Schizosaccharomyces pombe: one gene and its partners. Changing the gene in region 2 together with the main gene of any one other region gives a genetic interaction. Each region holds a gene or a part of one and is shown on either strand. Other genes may lie near its edges. The genes, in order: mug117, luc7 and SPOM_SPCC4B3.06C.

Region 1 (3,348 bases), 370 kb from region 2:
GGTGCAAACGCGAAGCTAGCACTTCAACTGTTATATTCAACGAACACGTATCAGTTTACGTTCGATACTTTGCCAGCTGAAAAAGAATTTCAAATTCCAAAGGCATTGGAAGCTACCGAGTCTTTATTTCAGAGTCTTGCATTGACGTTTCCTAAACTTATGAAATTAAGTGAAGATGAGAAAATTGGGCTATGGCTATATGTTGCTCTAATTCCATGGTCTAGTCAAACTGTTATGGTTAAGAAAAAACAATTTTATATTCCTGCAATCATCGCAAAAGACAAGTTGAAGCTCAGAAGTACATATGTTAACCAGTTGAATCAGTGCTGCACATTCAATCCGATATTCGATGAATTAGTTAACGATACTTCCACTAAAAATTGCTCATCTATTGGCAGCTTAATACGACAATTGAATAAATCCTGGGAAGTCGTGTTTTTAACATCGGTCATATATAGTTGTTGTAAAACACCGGCAGCATCTGTATCAAATACATTTAGTTCTTATAAATCTCTATATGACTTTATTTATGACAAAAATTTACAAAATGCTTATAACATGAAGCCATTATTAGACGTATGTAATTCTTTTATTTCTGTTAACAATATTGAGCGAATAAGCTAACAATTTTTTAGGGAAAACAGATCATGAAAAATGTGGGAGTTAAGCCTGGCCCGCAGCTGAAAGAGACTATGGATAACATGATTTCCTGGCAATTTAAACACCCTGAAGGAAGTGTCGAAGATTGTGTTGCATACCTTCAATCCCTAAAAATATAAGAAAAGACAATCACTGTTTAGATAACTTAATCGCACAAAAGATTAAAAGAATAAAAGTCACCAGTAATCGTCGTCCTTTTTGGAAATTCGTATTTATGATATTTATGCTTAATTCAGAATGGATCCTTTCCTCTTATTATTACCAATCTCTAACCGGCTCTCGATAATCGTATTCGCTGGTGCTTGGTGTAATTTCGGTACAGTCTGGATAACAGTAGTTCAATTTGACATAGCATCTTGTGTTTTCATTATCATTATTAAAAAAACGAGTTCCACAAGCGGAACATTGCAAATTTAATTGATCAAATTCATCAATGATTTCGTTGCCTGTGCGTGCTGGATAATCACCTTCGCACTCATAAATGGCAGTGCAAGAACTAGCTGTATAAGAAGAATATCCATGGTAGATCAAGGATCTATTATACTTCATGTACGCGTTCGGACACGCACGATTTTCTCCTCGAAGCATAGGGCAAAGAAATGAGCCCTTACAGTTATTAGGATGAACCGAATTATCATATCCAAGCATGTTAAATAAACTTCTTCGATAGTTTGAAGTAATTCGAGAGCCTTTTGCTTCTGGCTCAAAGACAGTACTAAGATCACTTCTAATTGGGACTGCAATGCATATGTAAATGCAGATTCCGTATATGAATAGGAACAAAGTTAATTTCTCTGTTACACAACAAAATTTCCACATTCCTTCCGAAATATTAATATATATTAAATATGCAAAAGTGTTTAAAGCAATGCTTCTTATTTGCAATTATTCTTAATTAATTAATATTTTTCTTTTGGTTAAGGAAAGAATATGTAATATAAACAGTATTCTTTTAGTTGGTGTCAATATTTTTGTTTGTTTTTAAGATCGTAAACAGAGCTTTACAAACCCCAAAGCAAGGTGTCTTCATCTAGTGAAGCATCCGAGTCATTATTAGATAAATTGCTAGATTCTTTAACAGAAAAGTTATTTTTTTTAGTTTCAAACCTTTTTTGTTTCAAACGACGGATAAGATCCCTCGACTCACCCAATTTGCTTTCTTCTTCATAAAGAATATCATAAACTTCTGGTTCTAAATCATTATCTGCAATTTCATTTTCTTCATCCTTTTCGGCCAATAACTGTTGCTGTTGGAGTGTTATTTCTTGTTCAACAGCATTTTCCTCAATAATGCCAATCTCATTTTGAAAATCGTTCCACTCTTCTTCAATTAGTTCTTTATTTTTAGCAATAGATTCATCAAAAAAGTTTTCTGGAAGTGCGGACACCGCTCGTGTATCCTTAGGAGGTTCTGTAGATTGCTTTTCATTAAAATCACTTACTGCCAGCTCACGAGATTGATCACGACCTAAATTTTCAAATGATTTATGATCTCTCGTCTTCTGACGCTTCAGTTCTTGACTAGAGGCTTTCAGACCTCGCTTTTGCCCTAATCGCTCTTGTTTTACTTTCCTCAGTAACTCTCGTGCACTACTCATATTTTTGAAGCTCCTTTTCTAACAATATTCACATTTAATCGTAAAATATTGCATTCGAACTATAAAATAGCATGTATCCTTAGTTTTCGCAGATTTTGCACCTTTGCTATAACAAACTACAACACTGCTGCCACTTGCCAATAACCCATACCTGCCAACACCTTGTTTTTTAGAACTCTTGACGAGCTTTTGTGAGGATATTAAACACTTCAGGAACGACTTTTGTTTAGTTATGCATATATTTTAATCTCCTCAGTTTATTTAGTACGCATTCAATCACTTGTTATTCGAATTGCATGTATTAACCTTGAAGTACAGATGTCATTGATCAAAATACTTTTTATTCCCATAATAACGAAGCATGGTAAGAAAAAGCACTAGAAGGACGGCAAAAGCCTCAGAAAAACCTCCTGAAACTGTTGTTCGGTGTGTTTGTAAATCGCAAGAAGACATTGGCGATACGTGGGTTCAATGTGATGGGTGTGATTGCTGGCAACATGCCAGTTGCGTTGGATTAGCGGATAAGGATATACCTGAAAGCTACTATTGTGAAGTTTGTCATTCGCGAAGCGACGTTTCATCACAAGTACAAAATTCTCCCAATAAGGATGAAGAGCATCAGACAGCTGATTTACTTGCCTCTAATGAAGGGAACGAGAAAAACAATGAAGAAAATAATGTTGTATCTTCTGATTCAAAAGAGGCGATTACTAAAGAGTCAGGCGCTGAACTAGAATCATCCGAGCCTGCTTCGACAAATTCTAATGTTGGAATGACTACTAGGTCTGGTCGACAATCTCCTAGGACTCCTATTGGCTCCACGACACCAAAAAGTTCTCATTCTCCACCTTCAACTCGAAAACGAAGAGGCAGTGTTGGTACGACGGCTACTCATACCAAACGTAGCAAGAATGCACCAAAAACATCTCCTAAGGATGCTTCCAATGAAACTGCAGATCAGGAAAAGGAGCTTAGTTTACACACTTCTATCGATGAAATTCAAAACCCTGTTAGAAAAAGTGTTGCCAAAGCCTGGGTTTCCGTTTTTGAAAAAATCATTGAGAAAGCAAAACTTGAAGGTGTGCAAGGA
Region 2 (3,733 bases):
GTATGAATATCCCAACATTGATTTGCAACTCTCTGAACATGTAATGGGTGTTCGTCAAATAAATCTGGCCTTTCAAAGTATGGTTTTATCTGAATTCGATTCAAATCTTCGTGTAACCCGTCTAAGAAAAAGGCGATGAATTCCTGAGAATCTTGCTGACGATATCCAGAAAAATAGGTATTAAACTCGCCAATTATAAATTTGAAAGAACTAGGTGACACCGAGTGCATATCAGCAGTATGATGGATCATCTTCAGTAGACTAGCATAAGACAAGGCAACTTTCCCCATCATTCCCAACGGATTGTTGTAATTAATATCCTTTTCATAAGAATCACTAAGAAAATATTTTGTAAGTTCGTGTGTATGTATCATACATTGAAGGGCAGAATTCATATAGCATGAATTACCCAAATTGTAAAGACCGCAGAGTCCGATTTCTTTATTTATTGTTAAATTTTGCTCTTTGGTTATAGAGTCAGATAACCACTCTCCGTTAGGATGTTGAAACTCGAGCAATAAGCTTCCATCGGCAATATCTATTTCGAAAATAGTCATGCAAACAGCATACTCGGAAAGCAAAGCAATCGCAGGTTGATCATTGAACTCCGACAAACTTACAAACCTAGAAGATAGATTACTTTTGTTTAGATACCATAAACGGAAAGAAGTACCATCAGATATTTGGAAAGCTTCCATCACTTGTTTGTACAAAGACCGAAGGGTATCACTTCGGGAAAAGCTAAACGCATAGGGTTCATCACTATGATATGGTTCATCAATTTGGTATAATGGTGAATAGCTCGTGTTTTCACCGTTTATTGGGTCGAATAAAACGTGCAAAGTAAAGTTTATAGGATAGATATCTACGAATGGCTTTTGCTCAGCAGCCAATCCTACCAAAAGAACTTTTCGCTCTATAGCTAGACCTTCTAATCCAAACCTATATTTGAGTTAGCTAATAACATAATGGGAATTGAAAAGAGGCCTCAAAATCCAAGGGAACCTATATATTTAGGCACCGTGGGAAGTAATGCAAACTACATAAATTAATGAAATATTCAAAACTAAGACACAATGCTTTCAAAACATATATGAATATGAGTTTTGAATTTAATTAATAATGCCTTTTACAAGTACTGTAGAGACCTTTAAAGAAAATTCATACCACTCAACAAGCATATGCCATAGCGAAGCAGAGACAATGCTATAATCAATAGATTCCTCCAAAGAATGTTTAAGCTCGTTTTTTTCATCCAGCAGCCTCCATTGAGTTATAGGACCAGGGTTGTCGCCTTCTCCATATATAAAGTCAACGTATCCTTCGAACCAGTCATAGTCAATTAAAAAGGCAGTTTTTTCTTTTTTCCATTTTTCTTTATCCTCTTTAATTAAATTTATCGAATCTTGGAACGGCAATGAAGCAGGTTGGTCGATCCAAATTTGGGAATATCGAGTGCTTGCGTTTTGAGTAGCAGTTGATGCCATTCTCAAAACATGGTCATTTATTCGTTATATTTTTGTTTCTTCAAGTTCCACTCTTATAAATTGCAAAAAATTGGGGGAATGGAGTTGTTGGTTTAAGTAAACTTGTTGTACCAAATGGTGAAAAAGGATTTATACAGGTGACGCATATTGCTGCCCTCTGTCAAGTTTGAGTTTTCAACAACAATTTGTAAAAGTTGATCTAATCGAAAGAATAAAGTATCAATATATTGCCTCGTCTATATTTAACGATTTAGAAATAGCAACTTTTGAACTTTTCCGGGAAATTTTTTTTTGAATTTTAACCCAACAAGCTACTCAAATTACATCTCAATCAAATTTGAGCGATTGTAAACTTTAATTTTGATTTAATTGTGAATAAAGGAAAAAATTCTTTATACTACTTGTAAAACCTAGTGAAATTTTCTATTCATTTTACAGCGTTTGTCGAAAACCCACAAATAGGACATCAGCAGAGATAAAATTACATTTTGCCGAAAATACACTTATTATGGCCGCTGAACAGAGGAAAATCATAGAACAGTTGATGGGCAGTAATTTGAGTAACTTTACCTCTCGAGGCCTAGTACATTTCACTGATCGCAAAGTTTGCAGAAGCTTTTTATGTGGTATTTGTCCTCATGATATATTTACAAATACTAAAATGGATTTGGGGCCTTGTCCAAAGATCCACAGTGACAAGTTGAAGTCGGATTATGAACGGGCTAGTTATTCACATGACTATGGCTACGAGTGGGATTATCTGGAAGACCTAGAAAGACATGTTGATGACTGTAATAAGCGTATTGATATTGCTGAAGCTCGTAGAGAAAAAACAAAAGAGGAGGAAGAACGGATAGATGAGCTAATGCGAGATATAATACATACCGACCATTCAATTGAAGTTATTATTACAGAAATGGAGGCGCTTGCAAAAAGAAAATTAGTGAATGATGCAGTTAAACATTTTATTGAGCTTAATAGGTTGAAGACATACAGGAAAGAATTATATGATGAAGTGATTTCCATGAATGAAATTCCCAGTCAGGCTAGCACAACGCATCAAAAGCTACAAGTATGTGATATTTGTAGCGCTTATCTTTCAAGATTAGACAACGATCGTCGTTTAGCTGATCACTTCTCAGGAAAAATGCATCTTGGATATGCCATGCTGCGAAATATTGCTAGGGATCTTCGAGCTCAATTAGAGGACCGTGAAAAATCCCGTGATAAAAAGGACGGAGAGAAACAAAGAGATAATTTAGCTTCTTTTGAAGATAAAATCTCAACTTCCTTTGTTGCATAACCTACATTTCGTAATGAAAAAGTGGAGGATCTCAACTAACCGCCTTTATTCGCTTAGTGATGCCTTTTACGCAGACCTATATAGAATCTTATTATTATGTTTACCTTTTTACGTTTATGGTTGTTTCCTTACTTGCTTTTTTACAATATTCTTCATGTCATGCACAAAATAAGTGTACCTCTTATATTTTATATTCGTTTATTTCTAATCTCACAAGGTATATTGATATATGTATTTCAATTTGAATAACAGCTATAAGTATATCCTTAAAATAAAGCAGGAATAAACTCTTTGCCTTAATATTGTCGTACTAACCCAACCATCCTTACTTGTCCTTCAGCAACTGTTTGTTTTGGAGAATCTGAAATCGAAAGGAGTCAAACTATTTTACTAAATTAACTTTTTATTTTATTTTGTATAGATATCCTTGAAAATTCTGTGATTCGAAAGTCCAGTGGCAATGTAGAAGTATTAAACGTTTATCAACGGTTCTACCAAATCAGGGCCGATAAAAGAACTCTCGATTATAATTTACGTTTAATACAATCATATAGAATAAATAAAAACATAACATAGTACTTCCAACTGTAAATTGACTTGCGGCTTACATAGTGTTTTTTGGCATACTTGTGCAAACTACCGACTTCACAATTTACATGGCTCAAGCTTGTAAAACCACATACTCATCTCGTTTGAAAACGGGAAATACATGCTTAATCCAAAAAAATGTTGCAGTATCGACTAGGTCGCATTCTTCGTATACAGGCAGAAATTCGTTGAGAAATGTTCCAGCGGTTAATTACGCCGCATTCGAACAAGGTGAGGATTTTGAAACGCCAGTAGAAACTCCAGAAAAAGAAGAGGAAAAGTTCGAAACGGATGATCGGGGGCTGGCAGTTGGCAGACCAACCGGAAACAACATCTATCCAAGATTCGCGACTAA
Region 3 (3,172 bases), 270 kb from region 2:
ATTTGTTTAGATATTTCATAGTCTCGTGTATTGAGCCGTTGTCTTGAAAACTAAAATCCCTTCAAAGTATACCTAAAACCGATAGTATTGTAGACTGGTATAAGGTTCAGAGGCCTGACTACCCGAGACCATATCATAATGCTTATAATGCATATTATTCATAACGACTACATGTGTGTACATATTTTCTTGACATGTTAACAGTCAAAACAAAGCAGTTTTTCAAGTAGTAATTATGTCCTTTTTCTTATAAACGAAAAACACGAATAGCTTCACTGAAATTGTATTAAAATATAATTTTAAAGGGAACTTTTACTGCTGAACAAATTCGTATTACACAATGACTGAATATGAACCGTGTTTACTAATACATGCGTGCTAAAAATCCTTCATTAGGCAACACGAACAGCAGGAAGGATTAAGGTATTAGAGTCCATTGGTAAGTTGATATGACAGTAATAGATCTATCCATGTGAATAAAATCTAAAACCAAACAGATTTACTGGAAAATTGGCTTTTTAAAAAAAAACAAAAAACAGACTTTATTAAATGCACTCTATACTAGCTTTCAAAATACTCTTATGTTTTAATTATCTAGGGTTTCCTTTCAGGATTGCTTTCAAACAACTGAGAAAACTCACCGAAGGCTTTCTTAAGTTCACCAAGGTGCTTTGTAAATTCAACCGCTGGGTCGACTACACCTTGAACAATTTTATCTCTGGGTAACGTGAGCGCTGGCATGGTAGGCGCGACTCGCATCTTAAGAAAACCGGCAACATGTTTTAGTTGCGAAGCACAATCTCCTCCTCCATGGCCACCATAGCTTACAATCAAAAGCGGTTTTCCATTCCACTCGTGATACAAGTGGTCTAAGGCATTTTTAAGGATTGCAGGATATCCACCATTGTATTGCGGAGTTACAAAAACAAAACCATCTGCTCCAGCAATTTTGGACCCCCAGGCCTTAGTATGTTCCTGAGTGTACACATCTATTCCCATAATTGGAAGTCCGGGTTCATCGCTCATAGATAGAGGCCAATCAGTTAAATCAACTTTTTCGTAGTCAAAATTAGTCTCTCTTTTTCCCATCTCACCAACCCACGTTGCAATAGTTGGACATAAGCGTTTGCTGCGAACGCTTCCCATAATAACCAGGATTTTGGGAGTAATCTTCAGTAATTTTTCAGGCAAGGTCATGATGTTAATAATGTAAATGAATATCTGAGTATTCTTTTACTGTGTGAAACAATGTAGTGCTTTTATAAACTAGCATGTTGTTATGTCCGAGCCTCGGACATGACTAATTGTTCAAGATAACTTAGTAATATTAAAAAAATTAGAAATTCTGTCATCAAATGGTAAAAAAGGCTTTATTTTGTTTTATAATTGGCTAACAAACTTTCAATTTCATCTAGTACATTCATCCTAAGTACTTATTACTTCGGCACCTGAATCAAGTAATTTATTGATATGGCGACCGAAATATATATACTAGTGCTGTATTTTTAAGGTGCTGGAGCAATCTTGGTCCATTACCATAAAGCAGCCGTTTAAAAAAATTAAAATAAACAAACTCGTTGATCAGATATCGTTCAAAAACTAAGAAACGAATTCAAATTCCCTGCCAAAGAAACGGTCAAAACCACATAAAAGTTGCGATTTCGTATTATATTATTGTTTAATAAAGATTAGCGTTACATTACAAAACTGCCAAATCTTCAATGTTATCTCGTGCTGGCAATTTTGTATAGCACCTTTTTGCGCCATAAGCCCTAAGAAATATTGCCGCATTTTGAATATCATAGATCTCCTTTACAGAAACCTATCTTAATCAATTTACTAAGTTAAATTTCGGCTAGATATGTTTACTTCAATTGCTCTAGATCCGCTGAAGTCATAAAGCTTTACTTTCTTCCATCTCCTTTTTAATTTTGCTCTTTTTTTTTAACAATGAAAATCCAAAACGTGTTAATGTATCTTGCTGCATAATTAGATGTTTAAAATAAGCTTCCCCTTCACAATTTAAAATCATCAATTTTTGTAAACAAGTCAATATGTACGACTGTATTACGAGCCTCTATACTTTCCACTAATACATTTTAACATGTCAAGTTCTCCAAGCTTCTGGTAACTCGTTTTCCACAGCCACAAAACGACGGTATTGTTTTTGTTACGCCATGCTCTTATTAGGTTTAACGCACATGGCCGACAACGCAACAACAATACCACATTACGTTGTAACTTGCTAACAAGTTTCCCGCGCGATTTTTGGGTAGAAAAAATCACTCGATGTCAACGCTGCCTTAGCAAAACAGGTTAATTTAACGGTTCGTTATGATTGGAAGAAGACCTCAAGGTCTACGCGCTGCTGCTTCTTTAAAGAAGCAGCAGCAGCTTGAAAAACAAAAGCAAGAAGCCTCTTATGAGCTGTCAGGAAACTCGTCTCCTAGTAAGGAAAACGGAAGCGAAAATGTCGACAATGGAGAAATGGAGGATGAGACAATGCTTGTTTACACAGAGGAAGACAATATTTCACAACTTTGGGGTTTATACGAGATGAGTCGCGAAAAGTTGGAAAATGACGATATAGATGCTAGTGTGAGCCTTGTCTTTGGTACCATTCACGAGGCTGATAGAATATTACGGAATACCGAGGACATTTCTACATTACCCAAGGACTTTCACGCGGCCTATTCCTCCGCTCTTTTGGCTGTGTCCGAGCTTTTCGAAATTGCACAAAAGCGTCTTAAGGAAACCAATACCGAAGAATCCTACATAGATGCTGCAATCGAGAGAGCTCAACTTGGCTTGGATGCTCCTGGCAACGAATCGAGACTTTTCCTTGCTCTTGCTCGTGCTTACCTTGAGAAGGTACGTGTTCTTGTTTGGCGTCACGATAACGAGGAATCTCTTGCCAACATCCCGGTCACTCAGTTGGTAAACCCATATATTGAGAAGGCCATCCAATACCTTCGTCCTCTTGCTCAGGATTCCACTGAATATTTTGATGCTCTTACCCCCGATTCTTTACGCCCATTATACATTCTCTCTTCCTACCTCTTTCAATTCGGTGATCAATTCTCTGAAGCTTTTCTCCTTGATGTCTGTTCAATTATAACTGCATTGTGGTTAAAATCTGTTGTCGATCCCAACACTCCTGCCTATTATAAGT

The links.
Region 1: mutations in luc7 (region 2) and mug117 together harm fitness more than expected from each alone (negative genetic interaction), as found in Schizosaccharomyces pombe (one large-scale study listed by BioGRID).
Region 3: mutations in luc7 (region 2) and SPOM_SPCC4B3.06C together harm fitness more than expected from each alone (negative genetic interaction), as found in Schizosaccharomyces pombe (one large-scale study listed by BioGRID).

Annotation. Positions count from the first base shown.
Region 1 is NC_003421.2:1,256,015-1,259,362, forward strand, and holds mug117 (protein mug117), read right to left. Parts: upstream 1,480-3,348; coding exon 919-1,479; 3' UTR 780-918; downstream 1-779. Other genes in the region: cca2 (ATP/CTP tRNA nucleotidyltransferase), read left to right, coding at 1-576, 636-779; SPOM_SPCC645.12C (uncharacterized protein), read right to left, coding at 1,662-2,258; bye1 (transcription elongation regulator), read left to right, coding at 2,620-3,348.
Region 2 is NC_003421.2:890,725-894,457, forward strand, and holds luc7 (U1 snRNP-associated protein Luc7), read left to right. Parts: upstream 1-1,787; 5' UTR 1,788-1,995; coding exon 1,996-2,790; 3' UTR 2,791-3,112; downstream 3,113-3,733. Other genes in the region: ubiquitin hydrolase Ubp1, read right to left, coding at 1-942, 1,168-1,487; RSC complex subunit Sfh1, read left to right, coding at 3,447-3,733. UniProt on the Schizosaccharomyces pombe protein: Component of the U1 snRNP particle, which recognizes and binds the 5'-splice site of pre-mRNA. Together with other non-snRNP factors, U1 snRNP forms the spliceosomal commitment complex, that targets pre-mRNA to the splicing pathway.
Region 3 is NC_003421.2:1,163,213-1,166,384, reverse strand, and holds SPOM_SPCC4B3.06C (NADPH-dependent FMN reductase), read right to left. Parts: upstream 1,198-3,172; coding exon 595-1,197; 3' UTR 511-594; downstream 1-510. Other genes in the region: protein Nro1, read left to right, coding at 2,335-3,172. UniProt on the Schizosaccharomyces pombe protein: Has several reductase activities that are NAD(P)H-dependent and involve FMN as a cofactor. May be involved in ferric iron assimilation.